Linked DNA regions of Macaca fascicularis. The protein of the gene in region 3 purifies or fractionates together with the protein of the main gene of each other region. This does not show direct contact. Links are inferred from orthologs where the notes say so. Each region holds a gene or a part of one and is shown on either strand. Other genes may lie near its edges. The genes, in order: DDB2, DCAF1, COPS4 and DTL.

What was found.
Region 1: the proteins of COPS4 (region 3) and DDB2 purify together in Homo sapiens (affinity purification with mass spectrometry; 7 studies listed by BioGRID and IntAct, counting the BioPlex papers as one, with this or other methods). This does not show direct contact. The link is inferred for Macaca fascicularis from reciprocal best matches to the Homo sapiens genes COPS4 and DDB2.
Region 2: the proteins of COPS4 (region 3) and DCAF1 purify together in Homo sapiens (affinity purification with mass spectrometry; 4 studies listed by BioGRID, with this or other methods). This does not show direct contact. The link is inferred for Macaca fascicularis from reciprocal best matches to the Homo sapiens genes COPS4 and DCAF1.
Region 4: the proteins of COPS4 (region 3) and DTL purify together in Homo sapiens (affinity purification with mass spectrometry; 3 studies listed by BioGRID). This does not show direct contact. The link is inferred for Macaca fascicularis from reciprocal best matches to the Homo sapiens genes COPS4 and DTL.

The regions. Positions count from the first base shown.
Region 1 is NC_088388.1:18,611,085-18,615,978, forward strand, and holds part of DDB2 (DNA damage-binding protein 2), read right to left. Parts: intron 2,667-4,894; coding exon 2,521-2,666; intron 918-2,520; coding exon 818-917; intron 734-817; coding exon 556-733; intron 224-555; coding exon 81-223; intron 1-80.
Region 2 is NC_088376.1:114,509,861-114,515,224, forward strand, and holds the start of DCAF1 (DDB1- and CUL4-associated factor 1), read right to left. Parts: upstream 3,299-5,364; 5' UTR 3,172-3,298; intron 754-3,171; 5' UTR 707-753; intron 1-706. UniProt on the Homo sapiens protein: Acts both as a substrate recognition component of E3 ubiquitin-protein ligase complexes and as an atypical serine/threonine-protein kinase, playing key roles in various processes such as cell cycle, telomerase regulation and histone modification.
Region 3 is NC_088379.1:50,781,668-50,786,561, forward strand, and holds part of COPS4 (COP9 signalosome complex subunit 4), read right to left. Parts: intron 3,912-4,894; coding exon 3,758-3,911; intron 3,586-3,757; coding exon 3,435-3,585; intron 1-3,434. UniProt on the Homo sapiens protein: Component of the COP9 signalosome complex (CSN), a complex involved in various cellular and developmental processes.
Region 4 is NC_088375.1:69,850,892-69,855,785, reverse strand, and holds part of DTL (denticleless protein homolog), read right to left. Parts: intron 3,799-4,894; coding exon 3,673-3,798; intron 2,123-3,672; coding exon 2,024-2,122; intron 1-2,023. UniProt on the Homo sapiens protein: Substrate-specific adapter of a DCX (DDB1-CUL4-X-box) E3 ubiquitin-protein ligase complex required for cell cycle control, DNA damage response and translesion DNA synthesis.

The DNA.
Region 1 (4,894 bases), on a different chromosome or scaffold from region 3:
CCCTTCCCCACCGTGGGCAGACCTGCTCCAGCCTCATGATCACAGCTTCCTTCTGGGAGCTCCTTCCCTCCGCCACTCACCTTGATGGGTGTGAGGTGCTGGAAGTGACGGTGAGGGTGTGGGATCAGGCCCAGGGGGCAGTCCCACTGGGAAGCAGAGTAAATTCGGATCTCGCTCTTCTGGTCCGTGGTCAGGAGCCGGGCTCCATCGGGACTGAAACAAGCTGGCAAAGTGAAAAGCCCCTGAGCTGAAGGAACCACGAGCCCCCTGTGGTCCTGGCCTTGCAGGCCTTCTCCTGCAGGGGTACCCTCCCTACCACTCCTCTCTAGACAGGAGCGGAAAGGAAGAGGTGAATCTGGGCTATGAACAACAACAAAATTCTGGAAACTCAGCAGTTGATGGGGACAGCCACAGCCACAAAGATTCCCAGACATCAGCTTGGCAGACGCTATCAGGGGTAAAGGTTTGTGGTAGTGGCTTCCACGCTGAGGGAACACCCCAGCAGCAGTCAGATAGGCAGGGTCTGCAGGAGAGATGAGGTCTGGGATATCACACCTGCGTTGACAGGATGCCTGTGCGGCAGCGAGTAGAGGAAGCTGGCTTTCCCTCTAACCTGGCGCAGGTCCCAGATTTTCACTGTTTGATCTACGGAGGCTGTGGCCAGGAACCAATCACAGCATGGGTTCAGGGCCACATGCGTCACTTTCTTTTTGTGCATTCTGAGATTCCAAAGCTGCAGAGAAGAGCTCGGTTCAGGTGGGGACACAGAACCGAGGCGGGGATGAGGGAGGGAAAGGCAGGACCTGGGAGAACGCACCTCTTTGCCGTCCATGTTCAGCAGGATCACGTTCCCCACGTTGTCTCCTGTGACCACCATTCGGCTACTGGCGGACACATCCAGGCTACAAAACCAGATGCTGGAGGGAAAGACTGTGTTGTAAGATTCTTGGGGACAGAGATAGGCCTGTTTACTCACTGTTGCTGCTCCAGTGACTAACCCACAGTGGGCATTCAATAAATATTTGTTGAATGAATGAATAACTGTCTTGCTGTGGATTCCTAGCGAGGAACATTCAGACTGCTCTACCGTCCAGACAGAGGGAATGGGGTAATGGGGCTCAGAAATCTGTCTGGTTACTGCTGGGCCCAGGATCCCCAGCTCCTAAGAGTCTCTGAAGCAGACAAAGCTCAAACCATAAAGCAAGCCTCAGGGCACGCCCGCCCCCACACCCCGGGTTCTAAGCAATCCTCCTTTACTGCTCTCTCCTTTCACTCTCCACCCTTTGGGCCAAAGGAGACACAAGCCAAACAGGGATTGCCTGGCTCTGTTCCTCAGAGCTGGCTGGAAAGGCACTTCTGCCCCCTTCTGAACACTGAGGGAAAAACACACAACCAGGAGCTCTTCTGGTCCCTCAAACCACTGGACTGGGAGGCTGACTAGGGGTGCTTCAGGGATCCTGCTATCCAGCCAGAGGAGCTCAGCTCAGTTTTTCTCTCAAACCCTCAAATCCATGCTACACTGACTTTTGCCATCCCTTATGAATATCTTCAAGCAAGAAGATTTCTTGCGGAAAACGAGCCTGGAGCCTCGTCTATCCAATCACCTGCTGAATTGCGCATGCACTCCTCATCCCTGCAGGACAGCCCAGGATCCCATCCAATGCTAGTTACACCCCAGCACCCTCACTTAATTCCTCAGGGAGCAGTCAGAGTCCCGGCTCTAGCTGGAAATCAAAGTGACGAGCATTTTGTAATTTTTTTTTTTTTTTTGGAGATGGAATTTCACTCTTGTTGCCCAGGCTGGAGTGCAGTGGCGCAATCTTGGCTCACTGCAACCTCTGCCTCCTGGGTTCAAGCTACTCTCTTGTTTCAGCCTCCCAAGTAGCTGGGAATTACAGGCACCTACCACCACATCCGGCTCATTTTTTGTATTGTTAGTAGAGATGGGGTTTCACCATGTTGGCCAGGCTGGTCTTGAACTCCTGACCTCAGGTGATCCACCCACCTTGGCCTCCCAAAGTGCTGGGATTACAGGCATGAGCCACCGCACCCAGCTGCATTCTGTAATTTCTCCAGCCACTTTCTCTTGGGAAGTTCAGAGCACTTTATGGACAAGATTCCATCCATGTAAGCTTGCACCCAGGAACGGCTCAGGTCATTACACCACAGCGAGTGCAGGGAATTCAGTCTCAAGTTCTTAGCTGCTGCTCCATTCTCTAGGTGGCTTTCTGGGCCTATGCCATGCTGGCTTATCTAGTGAAGGTCCAGGTCTAGTCTAATACAGGTATGACTTACAGAAGAGCTGAGGCTCCAGAACACCTTCCCAAAGCAGTAACCCACCTGGACCAAAGTGAGGGTGGCCAAGGAACAGTTTGAGAAAGAGAAAGAAGGGCGGAAGGTGGCTGACATCTTTCCTTTCTTCCCTGTGCCAGGTTGGGTTGAGGAAATGGGATCTGGATGCTCTTGCCGGAACTACACCTAAGCTTAGAAGCCCTTTCCCCGCCTAGTTAAACTACTCACTTGATGGTGTCTGAGCTGGCAAAAACTCGTAGAATGTTGCCTTTAAAGTCTTGCAGCCTAGTTGTTCCCTCCATTGAGGAGGCGTAAAACTGGTTGGTATTGAGAGGGTTAAACTTCAGCCCAGTGATGCTCCCTCCAGCTCCAATCTAACACGAGGAAGGAAAAAGCCAGTGAGTGATGATGGGCCTGGCAGTGAGGAACCAGGCCTGGGCACGCGTGCTGCGCTGTCACGGAAGCACCAACGAGCAGTGCGTGGGGCCAGGTCAGCTCGGACACCTAAACACTAGGACGCTCTCCACAGAGCCTTCACTTCTTTTTCTTTTCCCTTGAAATAGGGTCTTTCTCTGTCACTTAGGCTGAAGTGCAGTGGCACGAACACGGCTCACTGCAGCCTCAATCTCCCAGGCTCAAGCGATCCTCCTACCTCAGCCTCCCAAGTAGCTGGGACTACAGGTGCACACACCATGCGCAGTTCATTTTTGTATTTTTTTTTTTTTTTTTTTAAAGATGGGGTTTTGTCATGTTGCCCAGGCTGGTCTTGAACTCTTGAGCTCAAGCGATCTGCCCACCTCAGCCTCCCTAAGTGCTGGCATTACAAGTGCTAATTTTTAAAAAATTGTTGGTAGAGACAGGGTCTCATTGTGGTGCCCAGGCTGGTCTCGAACTCCTGAGCTCAAGTGATCCTCCTACCGTGGCTTCCCAAAGTGCTAAGATTATAGGCATGAGCCACTTTGCCTGGCCCCTTCTTTTCTTTTTCTTCCTTTCTTTCTTTCTCTTTCTTCTTCCCTCCCTCCCTCCCTTTCCTTTTTTTTGTTTTTTTTTTTTTTGAGATGGAGTCCCACTCTGTCACCCAGGCTGGAGTGCAATGGCGTGATCCCGGCTCATTGCAACCTCTGCCTTCCAGGTTCAAGCGATTCTCCTGCCTCAGCCTCCCAAGCAGCTGGGATTACAGGTGCCCACCACCACGCATGGCTAAATTTTGTATTTTTAGAAGAGACAGGGTTTCACCATGTTGGCCAGGCTGGTCTTGAACTCCTGACCTCAGGTGATCCGCCAGCCTCAGCCTCCCAAAGTGCTGGGATTATAGGCGTGAGCCACTAAGTCTGGCCTCCCTTCACTTCTTAAGGCTTTATTTTTACTTTCTTTTTTTTAATTAACATATAGCAAATTTGGGGTATACAGTTCTCTGAATTTTAACATATGTATAGATTTAAATAACCACCACCCAAATCAAAATGCAGAACATTTGCAACAGCCCAAAAACTCCATTGTGCTATCCCATTGCAATCACACCCTCCCCTCGCCCCCAGCCCCTGGCTGATCTGTTCTCCATCACTATTGTTTTGCCCTCATAGAATGTCCAATAGACCAGGCACAGTAATCCCACCACCTGGGAGACTGAGGCGGGGGGACTGCTTGAGGCCAGGAGTTCAAGACCAGCCTGAGCAATATAGGGAGAACCCCCATCTCTACAAAAAAAAAAAAAAAAAAAAAATATATATATATATATACACACACACACACACACACACACACATATATATATAGGCATGGTGGTAGGTGCCTGTGGTTCTAGCTCCTCAGAAGGCTGAGGTGGGAGGATGACGGAACCCTGGAGGTCGAGGCTGCAGTGAGTTGTGATCGCATCACTGCACTCTAGCGTGGGTGACAGAGCAAGATCCTGTCTCTAAAAATAAAATTAAATTAAAAATAGAATTAAAAATAGAATGTCATGTAAATGAATTAGGCAGTATGCAACCTTTTGAGACTGTCTTGTTTCATGTCACTCATCATGCCTCTGAGATTCATCTGAGTTTGCTTTATCAACAAGCTCATCTCATTTTATTGCTGAGGTATTATTCCATTTTATGGATGTGCCCTAATTTGCTATTCCCACAGTGCTCTCTTTAGAAGAGCTTCAGCTCAGAGCAGTGGTGGAGTTAGGAGGGCAAGAGTCAGATCTGTGCCCCTTCCTATTCTTCCAGTCATCCCAGAAAATTATGATGAAAGTAATCATGATAATATCAATGGCTTAACCTTATTAATTGCTTACTATGTATTAGGCACTGTTTTTTGGGGGGATTTTTTTTTTTTTTTTAGATGGAGTCTTGCTCTGTCGCCCAGGCTGGAGTGCGGTGGTACAACCTCAGCTCACTGCAGCCTCCACCTCCTGGATTCAAGCAATCCTCCTGCCTCAGCCTCCTGAGTAGCTGGGATTACATGCCCATACCATCACACCCGGCTAATTTTTGTATTTTTAGTAAAGACGAGTTTCACCATGTTGGTCAGGCTGGTCTCGAACTCCCGACCTCAGGTGATTGGCCTGCCTCAGCCTCCCAAAGTGCTGGGATTACAGGCGTGAGCCACTGTGCCC
Region 2 (5,364 bases), on a different chromosome or scaffold from region 3:
CTCATGCCTGTAATCCCAGCTCTTTGGGAGGCCAAGGCAGGCAGATCACCTGAGGTTGGGAGTTTGAGACCAGCCTGACCAACATGAAGAAACCCCGTCTCTACTAAAAACACAAAATTAGGCCGGGCACAATGGCTCACGCCTGGTAATCCCAGCACTTTGGGAGGCCGAGGCCGGTGGATCACAAGGTCAGGAATTCGAGACCAGCCTGGCCAACATAGTGAAACTGCGTCTCTACAAAAATACAAAAAAAATTAGCCAGGCATGGTGGCACGTGCCTGTAATCCCAGCTACTCGGGAGGCTGAGGCAGGAGAATCACTTGAACCCAGGAGGCAGAGGTTGTGGGGAGCCGAGATCGCACCACTACACTCCAGTTTGGGCAACAAGAGCAAAAAGACAGTCATCTTCACCTTGTTATGCCCAAGACAGTGAGGATGCATTACTCAAGTTCTTAAGTGAGTTATTTAAGTGCTATGAAGAAATGATGGTCTGTCCAATGGTGACACATAGTTACCAATTAGTGAATATCTAGTATGGAACAGACATTGAGTAAGTAATTTACTACACTTACATTATTCTGAATTTTCACAACCATCCTACCCTTTTTTACACATGAGGAAACAAGCTCCGAGAGGTCCCCAAGACCAGCTAGTACTAGGTAGAAAAAGTATTTCAAGGATTCAAATCCCAATTCTGCTGACATACCTGTGAAGTCTTGGTTATTTAACTTCTCCAAATCTCAATTTCCTTATCTGTAAGATGGAAACAGTTGTTGTGCGGGGTTAAATGACAATATTGTCCCCATGGTGGGATAATACAAAGCCTCAAGAAATACTTATGTAAAATTTCCTTATCCTAACAAGTGTCTGCTAGCGTAGTCCACAAAATAAATATATAGATACCACACACAAAAACAGAAAAAATATGGCATAATATTAACAATTGTTTGCCGGGCACAATGGCTCATGCCTGTAATCCTAGCACTTTGGGAGACTGAAGTGGGTGGATTACTTGAGGCCAAAGTTCAAGACCAGACTGGCCAAAATGGCAAATCCGCATCTCTACTAAAAATAAAAAAATTAGCCAGGCGTGGTAGCACACACCTGTAATCCCTAGCTACTCCAGAGGCTGAGGCATGAGAATCACTTGAACCCGGGAAGCGGAGGTTGCAGTGAGCGGAGATCATGCCACTGCACTCCAGCCTGGGCAACAGGGCAAGACTCCGTCTCAAAAAAAAAAAAAAAAATTAAAAACTTGCCAGGCACAGTGGCTCAAGCCTGTAATCCCAACACTTTGGAAGGCCAAGTCGGGAGGATTACTTGAGGTCAGTTGGGCAACATTTCGAGACACAGTCTACACAAAAATTTAAAAATTACCCAATCATGGTAGCCTGTGCCTGCAGTCCTAGTTACTCAGGAGGCTGAGGCAGCAGGCTCCTTTGAGTCCAGGAGTTAGAGGCTGCAATGAGTTATGATCACACTCGAGACCATCCTGGCTAACACACTGAAACCCTGTCTCTACAAAAAATTAGCCGGGCGTGATGTCAGGCGTCTGTAATCTCAGCTACTCAGGAGACTGAGGCAGGAGAATGGCGTGAACCTAGGAGGCGGAGCTTGCAGTGAGCCGAGATCGCATCACTGCACTCCAGCCTGGGCGACAGAGCGAGACTCTGTCTCAAAAAAAAAAAAAAAAAGGGTTATGATCACACCACTGCACTCCAGCCTAGGCTACAGAGCAAGATCCTGTATCTAAAAAAAAAACAGTCTAGGTGTAGTGGCTCGTGCCTGTAATTCCAACACTTTGGGAGGTTGACAAGGGAGGATCACTTGAGTTCCAGACCAGCCTGGGCAACACAGTAAGACTACTGTCTCTACAAAAAATAAATGAATAAAAATAAAAAATTTAAAAACTGTATAATAGGCAGAACAGTAAAACACTGTACTCAGCAACTACCCAAGAGGTACTGAGCAAAAAATGATTTCCCTACACTCCCCAAATTCTCTATTATCTCAACATCCAAATATATATACCTACTCAAAAATGGGTAATGAATAACTGCTATATAGAAAACCCAAATGTTCACATCATTAAGAAAAATACTAAATCGATTCCTAAAGTCTACATATACACACATAAACATTAAAGGTAAACTCCAGTAAGCTGGAAAAAGAAAATGAAGGATATTACCAATTAACCTCTCATTCTGTACATTAACAATGCATTTTGAACAGGAAGATGCTACTAACATAAAAAATTAAAACGTGTAAAGACTAATTAAAAGGCTTCATCGAAAAAACAGGGTAAGGAAAAACCGAGACCAACATGACGTGGCCAAGGACAAGTCATTTCTGACTCAAAAATAACTAATACAAACACTCCAAAACTATTTCCTCAACAAATGGAAAACCAGAGCGCTGCCACTGCAGTAAGAGGAAGCCAGACAGAAAACCGTCTAGGAAGTGAAGTTGTGAAGCAAACGCTTCTGAAACCCCAGTTGAAAACTACTATAACCCCCGGAAACAGACTCCCGGGAAGTTTGGCGGGCACTCTGAGGTTTGACTCCAGGCTGCGGGACCCGCACACCTCTTTCCAACCCTTCCCTTCTTCATGGGGATGAGAGGAGTGACCAGAAAGCTCCGCCCCCGTCGCAAGGTCCAAGAGCCGGGCGGGTGCAGGGAGAGGTGGCACGAGGCCGAGAGACTGGAGAGCCCGCCCAGGTGACTGGAGCCGGAGGCGGAGACACAGTCCGTGAAGGGGCCCGCCGTATAGTACGGAAGATGGAGCCCCCCCAAGCCCGTACGGAACAGAGACTAGGAAGATTGGAAGGGAAAAGATGACAAGGGATATGACATGCGCCCCTCCCTCCAGGTAGGGGCTGACACACCCCGCCCCCCCACTCCGGGCGGAAGAGTTACTCTCGGGAAGCTTCTCGTGGGGAGTGGAGGAAGAACGTGGAGGCCCCGCCCCCGGGACAAGAATCAGGAGGAGGAAAAGTCCTGTCAGGCCCCGGGCCCAGCCTCCCGGCTGACCGGCCCGCCCCCTCCTCGCCGGCGGCCCAAGCAGGTGCCGCCCCTCCCCCAGCCCGGCGCCCACTCTGCCGCCCGGCCAGCCACGCGCCCTGCCTCCTCGCGCCCCTCCCGTAGAGTCGCCTCCCTCCATTTCCCACTCACCGTCCGAGGCGGCTCCGCCACTGCCCCCCCGCGACCCCGCCAGTGGCCACAGTTCACACACACAGCCTCAGGTCCCGCACTCACTCTTCACTCACATACACACACAGCGCGACCACGGCTCCACAGCGGCCCACATATTATGCGTCACTCGCGCGCTACGTGCACCGCGCGCGCGGGCGCGCGCGCCTACTTGGCGCGAGGACAGTGAGCAAGGGGCGGGAGGAGAACGCCTGCACGATCCGAGGAAAATCGAAGAGCCCCGGGGACGCCTGGGAAATGAAGTTCCGCGTCTAGGGGCGGGCCCACCAGTCCCAATTGACGCATGAGCTCTTCGCCCCGCGCATTGACTTCTGGATTTGTAGTTTTTTTGGATAAATGCGAACTGCTGAGTACTCATTGGCTGCTTCGGAAAGCGGAAGTGAAAAGTGAGGGAGTCAATCCTTCCAAGACAGTACTATAATCGCCTGATGCTTTAGTGTCTTGTTCTGACCTGTGTGCGCAAAGAGCCTCTGTTTTATTCGGCTATTTGCCTCATCTTACCTAGAACATACCGTGATCTAAGAAAATATTTTCTCATAAACATATCAGAAATCACAGCACTCATTAAAACAGAAGGCACTAGTTGTTTTTTATGTGTTTGTTTTGAGACAGAGCCTCGCTCTGTTGCCCAGGCTGGAGTGCAGTGACGATCTCAGCTCACTGCGACCTCCGCCTCCCGGGCTCAAACAGTCCTCCCACCTCAGCCTCCAGCTGAGACTACAGGTGCATGCCACGACACCCAGTTAATTTTTGTTTTTGTTTTGTGTGTGTGTATTTGGTAGAGACATGGTTTCACCATATTGGCCAGTCTGGTCTCGAACTCCTGGGCTGAAGCGGTCCACCCACCGGGGCCTCCCAGCCTCTTTGTTCTCCGTCTTTTTTTTTTTTTTTTTTTGAGACAGAGCCTCGCTCTGTCACCCACGCTGGGGTGCAATGGCGCAATCACAGCTCACTACAGCCTCAACCTCCTGGGCTCGAGCTGTCTTCCCACTTCAGTCTCCCAAGTAGCTGGGACTACGGGTGTGCACCACCACACCCAGCTAATTTTTTAAAATTTTTGTAGAGACGGAGTCCCACTGTGTTGTCCAGGTTGGTCTTGAATTTCTAGGCTCAAGTGATTCTCCTGCCTCAGTCCCTCAAAGTGTTGGGATTACAGGTATGAGCCACTGCGCCCAGCCTCTCTTTTTGTTCAAGACCTAGCCTGTAGGAATCAATAGATACTTATTGCCAGGTATTATACGTGAGGCAGAGAAGTGAAAAATCAAAAGCTCATAGATTGAGGCAGGACTGACCTCACAGGTCACTTAATTCAATTTCTTCATGTTATTGGGAAAAATGAGGCCCAGAGGGAGTGAGTGACTTGCCCAGCATCACACAACCAATTAGCAGAACCAGAAGACTCCTTACTCCGACCAGCGGTCCCTTTTGCGGGGCATAGAAGATAAACATGACTCCACATTTGAGGAGAATCTTGACCTGACAAGATCCTACCCAACCTTCAAGGCCTTACGCAGCTCATTATCTCTCTGGGAATGCTGAGCAAGTCTCCGTGCATTTCCATGAGTCTTCACGGACAATACTGTCACATGAACACAAGACACAGCAAGCCTGCCGCTATGCTCAGTGTTCCACAGCTAGTAAGGAACCTGAATCCTGGTTCCCTTGGTTTCACTCCCCACTAGATCCCATTTCCCTCTTTCCAGAAAAGAGACCATCCTCCTTCTCTTAAATGTGTACTCTACTGTGTGCTGGGAGCGCCACAGACATGTCACCTCTCTTCACTTCTTTCTCCTGCAACAACACACAGCTTTCTTCTCTGTGCTTCTGGAACTTTGCCTCTATCAGTAATGGCCACTACCATTTCTTTCAACTTTAGAGCATGCTGGGCTCTGAGCCAAGTGTTCTAGCCACACTCTCTCATTTAACCCTCACTACCCTGCCACACACACAGGGAAGATATGGTTAATCACCTTTACAGATGAGAAATCTGAACCCAGAGAGGTAGATCAAGGAATGGAACCCACATGCCTTTCCTCCAGCACTCCTTCAGGTGACTTTCCTGGGCCATGAACCTAAAATGTATGGAGATGGGACATTTAAGCCTTAGATATCTCCCCTCTGTCTATGGTCTAGCCGGCCCAGTGATGACTTCTC
Region 3 (4,894 bases):
TAATATATACTAGTGATTATTCTTGTAGGGTTAGGAGTTGGGGCTAGTGACTTGAAGAAAGCATAAAGAAGGCGGAGTGTTGGTAACATCTTGTTTCTTGTTCTGGATGCTTGTTACATGGAGGTGTTCAGCTTGTGAAAATTCATCAAGCTGTATACTTTTCATATGTGTACTTTTCCTGTGTGCATATCATACTAACAGAAAATAAGCAGGAAAAAAGTACAAAGTAAAAAGTTCAAAATAAAAGTTAAAAAAGGAAGAAAAAAGTTCATGCAGAAGAATAGAATGAGCAAATCACCATTTTGTAACATACAATGTAATGAATGACCCAAGCAAGGATTATTACTATTATTATTATTTTTTATTTTTCGAGACGGAATTTCGCTCTTGTTGCCCTGGCTGGAGTGCAATGCCGCGATCTCGGCTCACTGCAACCTCCGCCTCCCGGGTTGAAGTGATCCTCCTGCCTCAGCCTCCCGAGTAGCTGGGATTACAGGCATGTACCACCACACCCAGCTAATTTTGTATTTTTAGTAGAAACGAGGTTTCTCCATGTTGGTCAGGCTGGTCTCAAACTCACAACCTCAGGTGATCCGCCCACCTCGGCCTCCCAAAGTGCTGGGATTACAGGCGTGAGCCACCGCCCCCGGCCCCAAGCAGGGATTCTTAATGGATGCTAACTTATTATGTAAAAGGAAGTAGAAAACAGAATTTTTAATGTCATAGAATGCAAAAAGCTTATTGATATGGTTTCAGATTCCACATTGCAACTAACCTGTAAGAAACTATACCATCTGTCAAGTATAGTATCAAAGAATATCCACAATTACCTGAAAATGAGATTAAAATGTGCTTGTCTTTTCCAGCTACACATCTGTGTGAGGCTGAATTTTCTTCATATACTTTAACTAAAATAACCTATTCAAACGGAGTGAACGAGGAAGTGCCTATAAGAATTGAGCTGTTTCGGTCAAGCGCGGTGGCTCACACCTGTACTCCCAGCACTTTGGGAGTCCAAGGCGGGTGGATCACAAGGTCAGGAGATCGAGACCATCCTGGCTAATATGGTGAAATCCGGTCTCTACTAAAAAATACAAAAAATTAGCCAGGTGCGGTGGTGGGCAGCTGTAGTCCCAGCTACTCGGGAGGCTGAGGCAGGAGAATGGCATGAACCTGGGAGGCTGAGCTTGCAGTGAGCCAAGATTGCACCACTGCACTCCAGCCTGGGCAACAGAGCCAGACTCCGGGAAAAAAAAATTTTTTAATGCAAAACAATTCCATTCCCAGTAACATTTTTTGCTTAGAAAAATATAATTGTTTTTCATAAAAGTGTGTCATTTATGTTTACATGTAAAGGGTCTATTATTGCTACTTTAAAATAAATTAATAAATTATCTTAAATTACTCATTTAATTTCTAATAATCAGTAGATAGAATCTACATAAACAAGAGCTTTTGGGTTCTCAATACTTTTTCAGAGTGTAAAGGGGTCCTGACACCAAGAAATTTGAGAACCTAAAGTACTGAAAGAAAACATTGAGGGATTTAAAATGACATATAATTTCAGAGTAGGGAAGACTTTTCTAAGCAAGTCAACAAAACTTAGAAGCCATTAAAGAAAGATTAATAAATGTAATTAAGTAAACATTAAAAGGTTCTGCATGGGAAAAATGTCATAAACAAAACCAAAAAGATGACAAGTTAGGAAAAATTTTAATTTTCCTTTATATCTAAAGAGCTTTCACAAGTCACCAAGAAAGGACAAACAACTCAAAAAATGGCCAATCAACATAAATGTATAATTCACTCAATAAAGAAATACAGATTTTTCAACAATGTTTTTAAACATACAAAAAATGCTCAAGAGCTTTTGTAAATACAAATTAAAACTAAAGTGAGATATGGTTTTTCATCTATCGGATCAGAAAAGATAAAAGAATGTGGTAATATCTGTGTAAGAAATCAGGTGCTCATGAATATTTTTGTTTGGAGTGTAATAGTACAGGGCAATGTGTAACGTCTATCAAAAATTCAAAAGTATGTACCTTTGAATCCAGAAAGTTAACCTATACATATACTCATACATGTGCATAATCACTATAGTGTTGTGATTGACTAAATGAATTATGATAAAGCCAGACAACAGAAAATCAAAAAGAATGAGTTATATGTACTGACATGTAAAGATCACAATGATGTATACAGTTACAATAAAAAGGCAAGTTGCAAAAGTGTGTATATGCTACCATTTGTATTGAAAGAAATGTAAGAAACCAGTAAAAGTTCTTTAGAAAAAGAAGTAGTACCATGTTCATGTACTGCCTTTTCAGTAACAAAAAATAAAATAAATAAGATTACTAGTCTATAAAGAATAAAATGGGATGGGTGTGGTGGCTCACACCTGTAATCTCAGCACTTTGGGAAGCCAAGGCAGGTGGATCACATGAGCCCAGGAGCTCAAGACCAGACTGGGCAACATGGAGAAACCCCATCTCTAGAAAAATACAAAAAATTTAGCCAGGCATGGTGGTGTGCACCTGTAGTCCCAGCTACTTGGGAGGCTGAGGTGGGAGGATCACTTGAGCCCAGGAGGTTGAGGCTGCAGTGAGTAGTGATTGCGCCACTGCACTCCAGCCTGGGTGATAGAGTGATTTAAGAAAAGCTATGGTTTAGAATTAGCATTTCCTCTTAACACTCATTCTACTTCATAAGTGATTTACATGCTATAATTCAGTAAAAAGAACAAACAATATTTGTTACATGTATTGAAGAAAAGGATAAATGTCAGGTCTAAAACTGAGACTTGAAGGTTAAAAAAAAAATCAAAAGCAGTGTATTAATTATCATTTCATCAATCTACAGATTTTAATTTTTGTTTCACTCTGCACAATTCTCACTTAAGTTGATATCCACTTCTTTAGTGAAATTTTAGAACTTTACATTATCTCTTTTAACTATTCTTTTTTTTTTTTTTTTAGTGCAGGGGCGCAATCTCAGCTCACTGCAAGCTCCACCTCCTGGATTCACACCATTCTCCTGCCTCAGTCTCCTGAGTAGCTGGGACTACAGGCGCCCGCCACCATGCCCGGCTAATTTTTTGTATTTTTAGTAGAGACGGGGTTTCACTGTGTTAGCCAGGCTGGTCTCAATCTCCTGACCTCGTGATCCGTTACAGGTGTGAGCCACCGCACCCAGCCCTCTTTTAACTATTCTTAACACATATGCATAATAGACTGATATGAGCATATTAAATTATTTTAACAAATCATTTTATTTCTGTTTTTGTTTAAACACTTAAACTACATTTACCATAATTGTATTACAAAGACATCCCTTTGAAGAATAGTTCCTTGCTAAATTTTCCAACAGTAACCAACCTACAGTTATTAAGCAAAGATAACTGTTCATTTAAGTATAAATTATTACATGTTTACCTGCTGATGCTAAGATCGTACAGTGCAAAGCATGTTTTAAGGCCTCTAGTCTTTCACTTTCGTGGACTATTGTCTTGTAAGAGAGTTCATTGTACCTTTGTGCAGCTTCAATGAATTTTCTTCTATAATCAAGAACACGTGCATAGCATACCTACAGAAGGAAAATGTTTCAATTAGGCGACAAATTAAAAAGCGAGAGTTGAAAAAAAAAAAACAGAGAAACAATTTCTAATATTTCAGAGCATCTATCAGATGTTCTGGAATATCTTAGTATGTCACAATTCTCCAATACAAAATTAATTCCAAATCAACTTATCTGTTACCTTATAATGTATCTGTAATTGTTCATTGGTTGATTCATTCTGAAGCAACGATGCTCTATTTATGTAAGCCTCCGCCTGGACTGGATCATCATCCTCCAGATATAGCCTAGCAATCTTCAAGTAAGTCTCCAGTTTATAATCTACATTGTACTGTCTAGGATGTAACAGAAAAACACATAATGACTCAATATTTTGTCAAGAAAATTTTAGGAATAATAGAAGATATGTTGTTTTTTCCTCATATATATTCTAGTACCGTAAGGGAATCAAACTTTTTACTGCATTACACAAAAACTAAAAAGTTTTATTGAATTTTTATTATCATTAATCACATTATATCTTAGCTGCTTTTAATCCTCAATCTCACAAGCTAAAAGCTAAAGAACAACTGCTCAGTTTAGGGGTATATCATATATGACTAGTGGGACAACCTTCCTAGAAAATAATTGGGAAATATGCTCTCCAACCATCCTTTGAATCCTTTAAAATGCATATACCCTTAACCCACCATACATTTACCTTTAGAAAATAAATCCTAAGGCCAGGTGTGGCGGTTCATGCCTGTATTTCCAACACATTGGGAGGCCTAGGTGGGGGGGATCACCTGACGTCAGGAGTTCGAGACCACCCTGACCAACATGGTAAAAACACAAAATATTAGCCGGGCATGGTTGGCACACACTTGTAATCCCAGCTACTCGGGAGGCTGAGACAGGAGAATTGCTTGAACTCAGGAGGCAGAGGCTGCAGTGAGCCAAGATCGTGACATTGCACTCCGGCCTGGGTGACAGAGTGAGACTTAGTCCCAAAAAAAAAAAAAAAAAAGAAATCCTAAAAAGATAGCCAGATAGCCAGGGATGTGCATACATATGCATATAAAAGGATATTAATTTGTAAAATTATTTATAAATATCTATGCTAGGAAAAAAAATGGAAATCACCCATTATGATATTATTGGTGATCAAGTTGTGGTGCATAAAAATGGTAGAATACAAGGCTGGGCATGGTGGCCCACCTATAATCCCAGCACTTTGGGAGCCCGAGGCAGGCAGATCACGAGGTCAGGAGTTCAAGACAAGCCTGACCAACATGGTGAAACCCCGTCTCTACTAAAACACAAAAATTAGCTGGGCATG
Region 4 (4,894 bases), on a different chromosome or scaffold from region 3:
AGGGGAACAACACACACTGGGGATTGTTGAGGGGGAGCACGGAGAGGGAGAACATCAGGAAAAATAGCTAATGCAGCCGGGTGCGGTGGCTCACGACTGTAATCCCAGCACTTTGGGAGTCCGAGGCGGGCGGATCACGAGGTCAGGAGATCGAGACCATCCTGGCTAGCTCAGTGAAACCCCGTCTCTAATAAAAATACAAAAAATTAGCCGGGCGTGGTGGCAGGCACCTGTAGTCCCAGCTACTCGGGAGGCTGAGGCAGGAGAATGGCATGAACCCGGGAGGCGGAGCTTGCAGTGAGCCGAGATTGCACCACTGCACTCCAGCCTGGGTGACAGAGCAAGACTCTGTCTCAAAAAAAAAAAAAAGCTAATGCATGCTGGGCTTAATACCTAGGTGATGGGTTGATATGTGTAGCAAACCACCACGGCACACATTTACCTACGTAACAAACCTGCGTGTCCTGCACATGTACTCTGGAACTTAAAATAATAAAAACAAAGATGCACACATAAAAAATCAGTAGTCAGCACTCTTTGGCATGAGCAAAGATAATTTGTGGACTCATAGAAATTACACATTCCCTTAATTACCACATGAGAACTAACATCTGATGTCAAATTCCTTTCCATGAGTTCACTAGTTATATATTCTCTAAAATGGAATCTTTCTGAAACATATTCCAGTTCAAAAATCTTCATGATACTGGCTGGGCACAGTGGCTCACACCTGTAATCCCAGCACTTTGGGAGGCCGAGGCAGGCAGATCACTTGAGGCCAGGAGTTAACCAGCCTGGCTAACATGGTAAAACCCCATCTCTACCAAAAACAAACAAACAAACAAACAAAAAACAAAAATAAAAAGAACTTCATGATGCTCTCTGAATGGAATGTAAAATACTTTAGTTTGACATTCAACATTTTGCATTCTTTAGTCTTTATCTTGGTTGCAAGCCTCATCTCTCACTGTTTTCGATATCTTATTCCAACCAAATTGGTCACTTCCTATTTTATTATATCCTATGCTTTTCCATCTCTAGACCTTTGCTAATGCTTTTCCCTTCACCTGGAGTACCCCCTTCCATTTCCACCGGTCTAAATACCATAGTCCAACTCAAATGCCCCATTCTTCATAAATTTTCCTAGCCTTCTTTACTACATGAGAGTTTTCTCTTTGACACCAGTGTGTTTTCTTTCTACTTCTGTATAATTTATAGCCTTTGTTTTATTTATTTCAACACTTGACTTATAGGTTCCAAATTATCAGCTTCTTAAGGTTAGAAGAACTTTGCTTTATACCTGAAAAATGTTCGATCAATATAAATATTTTAAAGCAACACTTCTCTAACCACATTAAGTGTTAAAGATTCAACTTTTTGAAGGAATTGTTTTTAATCCTAAAATGTATTTTTCTTAACTTTGAGTAAAGGCATTGTCATAGTTAACAGTTATTGACAGATAGGTAGTCCACCATTCACATCTAACCTGGTCCCTAAAAAGACTTCATCAGAAGTTAACATAATCAGGAATGTGTTATATATACTTCAGATGTTTGTCCCTTCCCAAATCTCATGTTACAATTCAATCCTGAAAGTTGGAGGTGGGACTTAATGGAAGGCATTTGGGTCATGGGGGTGTATCCCTCATGAACAGATTAATGCCCTCCCTAAGAGGTGAACAGATGAGTGACTTCTTACTCTATTAGTTCCCTGGAAAGCTGATTGTTTAAAAAAGAGCTTGGTACTACCCCTTTCTCTTGCCATGTAACCTCTGTATTCATGGGCTCCTCTTTGCTTTCTGCCATGAGTTGGGGCAGACTGAGGCCTTCACCAGATGTCTAATCTTCTAGCCAGCAGAATCATGCACCAAATAAACCTTTTTTCTTTATAAACTACCCAGTCTCAGTTATTCCTTTGTAGCAACACAAGACAGACTAAAACAGAATGTGTTCAAATAATAATACACTTGAGGATCTGTAAAGTTTTTTAAATGTTAAAACAAAAATTGTAGACCTAGACTTACCTTTGAAGCACTTCTTTCTGAAAGTTTGTGATTCAGTGTTATACAATCGAACAAAGCCTTCTTCATTGGCAACTGCTAGTACGTGTTCCATATTGGGAGCTAAAGCAGAAATAAAGAATAAAATATATGAAGAGTAACACAAAATTTTTTTTTTTTTTTAGACGGAGTCTGGCTCTGTCGCCCAGGCTGGACTGCAATGGCACGATTTGGCTCACTGCAACCTCCACCTCCTGGGTGCAAGTGATTCTCCTGCCTCAGCCTCCCAAGTAGCTGGGATTACAGGCATGCACCACCACACCCAGCTAATTTTGTATTTTTACCAGAGATGGGGTTTCACCATGTTAGTCAGGCTGGTTTTGAATACCTAACCTCAAGTGATCCACCTGCCTCAGCCTGCCAAAGTGCTGGGATTACAGGCATAAGCCACTGCGCCCAGCCACAAAACTTTTTAAGTTTCCTCAAAACCACCAAAATTTTCTTCACATAATCTCTTATTTAGAGAAGGGCTAAATCGAGGGTTGTACTTAAACAAAACAGGAGTGGTACTGGCCAATGGCAAACAAAAGCATATGATGATATAGGCCGCCAGCAGGCTGAGTCTATTAGTTTTGTTTTTTTTTTTTAATCATATTTTTATTTACGTATTTTTACCACAATCATTGCTACGTAATAGTCTATTAGTTTTTGTTTTTGAGACGCAGTCTCCCTCTGTCACCTAGGCTGGAATGCAGTGGCGTGATCTTGGCTCACTGCAACCTCCGACTCCCAGGTTCAAGCGATTCTCTTGCCTCAGCCTCCCCAGTAGCCGGGACTACAGGCGTGCACCACCACGCTCGGCTAATTTCTGTAAGGAGTCTATTAGTTTTAAATTTCCTTTTCACAACTTTTTCTCTCCTCTCAAAACTATTATGGGTGGAGACAAGTACTTCCATTTCTTTCTTTTTTCTTTTTTTGGAGATGAAGTCTCACTCTGTCACCCAGGCTGGAGTGCAATGGCACAATCTTGGCTCACAGCAACCTCTGCCTCTCAGGTTCAAGTGATTCTCTTGTCTCAGCCTCCCAGGTAGCTGAGATTACAGGCATGCGCCACTACGCCCAGCTAATTTTTTGCAATTTTAGTAGAGATGGGGTTTTACCATGTTGGCCAGGCTGGCCTCGAACTCCTGACCTCAAGTGATCTACCCGCCTTGGCCTCCCAAAGTTCTGGGATTACAAGTGTGAGCCACTGCACCCAGACCCGCCTTGGCCTCCTAAAGTGCTGGGATTTCAGGCGTGAGCTACTCAGCTTGGCCAAAGTACTTCTATTTCTGTTCATATATTCCCCAGTGAGTCACAGAAAGATACATTCAACCAGATCAAAGGGTATGTATCTACTGGGTAAAACAGTTTTCATTGTAGCTGAACCTTTGCCACCATTTCCTTATATTGGTTTTTTAAAAATGGTGCTATAATAATCCTATGCTTTAGAAGAAATATAGTTATGCTAATGATGCATAGAGATTAAGAAAAGTCTATTTTATAAATCAAAAGACAACAGTTTTTACAAAAACTCTAACATCTACCTAGTTTACTTTTTGAAGTATATTTGCCCTGTAAATGTGAAATAGATCATTTCTGTCCAAGCCTTGCCTAGAGAGTAATTCTCTTACCAGAAGAGAAGGTACATCCAAAAGGAGGAACCGGGACTCCTGTTTCTCCATAAGAAGTGTGTTCATCATTACCACTGCATTGATAACCAGTCAGAAGGGATTGTAGAGGGTATTGTGAAGACCATCCTAAAACAAGACAATTCCTTATAGAATTCCAATAGAGCATCACATTTCAGCATTTTTAACAAATCCAGAGGTATATATTTGTTCTTAAGAAACTTTAGATATTAACATAGATCCACTTACTATTAATATCTATGGAAGACACTGTTTCTGGTATTTCCTTAAAAGAGTCCTAAGGAAAAAATGAAAAAGCACTTCCAACTTCTGGGGAGGTATAGCTTTGGGCTTACTATCTAAAATGAAGACTCTCACTAGCACATTGAGATTAGAAGAAATAAGAGGCCTTTGCATATTAAGAAAGATCTTCCTCCTTCTCCTACCAAAGAGACAACCACAAAAGCATTCCATTAAAACTGTTATCCCTTTCTATTAAATTCTTATGCTGGAACATCATACAAAATCCAGTGGTCAAAGAGCCAAAGAAAATAATATATATCAATGCAACTACTATAGCCAGTAACATATTCACCAAATTTACTTTCTTTTTCCTTTACTGCTGAAATTGTAGGAATCTAAAATGTTAATAGCAACGCTTATAGTATCTTAAATGATATTAGAGAAATTGTAAAGTGAAGCGTTATGTACCTACCCCTAGTAAACATTTAGTTAGCCCTGGCTAGTGGCAGTGGGTCAGGCAGTCTTTACAGGAGGTCTTGAAAGATGGGTAAATTTTCACTGAATTTAGAATAGAGAACAGGAAACTCAGGGTGGAAGAAAAGTTTATTCTGCTTGGGTCAGAGATCTAACGTGCACTATGGTCCTACATAGTAAGATATCTTCAGAGATTTGTTTTTATCATACTCATTTGTGGTCAAGACATTTTAAACATATAAAAGAAACATTCATTCAACAAGTAATTACTGAAAACCAAATGTTCAATAAGCATTGGAGGAATCACTGAGTTTACAATCTATTGAAAGCATAACAAACTCACATTTTAGGGTACTCTGAATTCTCACTTTTCATCAAAAGTACTATGTGGAGAATACATCCTAGCTTGATATAACCTCAGACAAATCTACATTTGGATGCTCATAGACATAACCTGAAGGAATCAATAGAAGGGCACCAAAAAATTTAATCCAAATTTAATAATTAG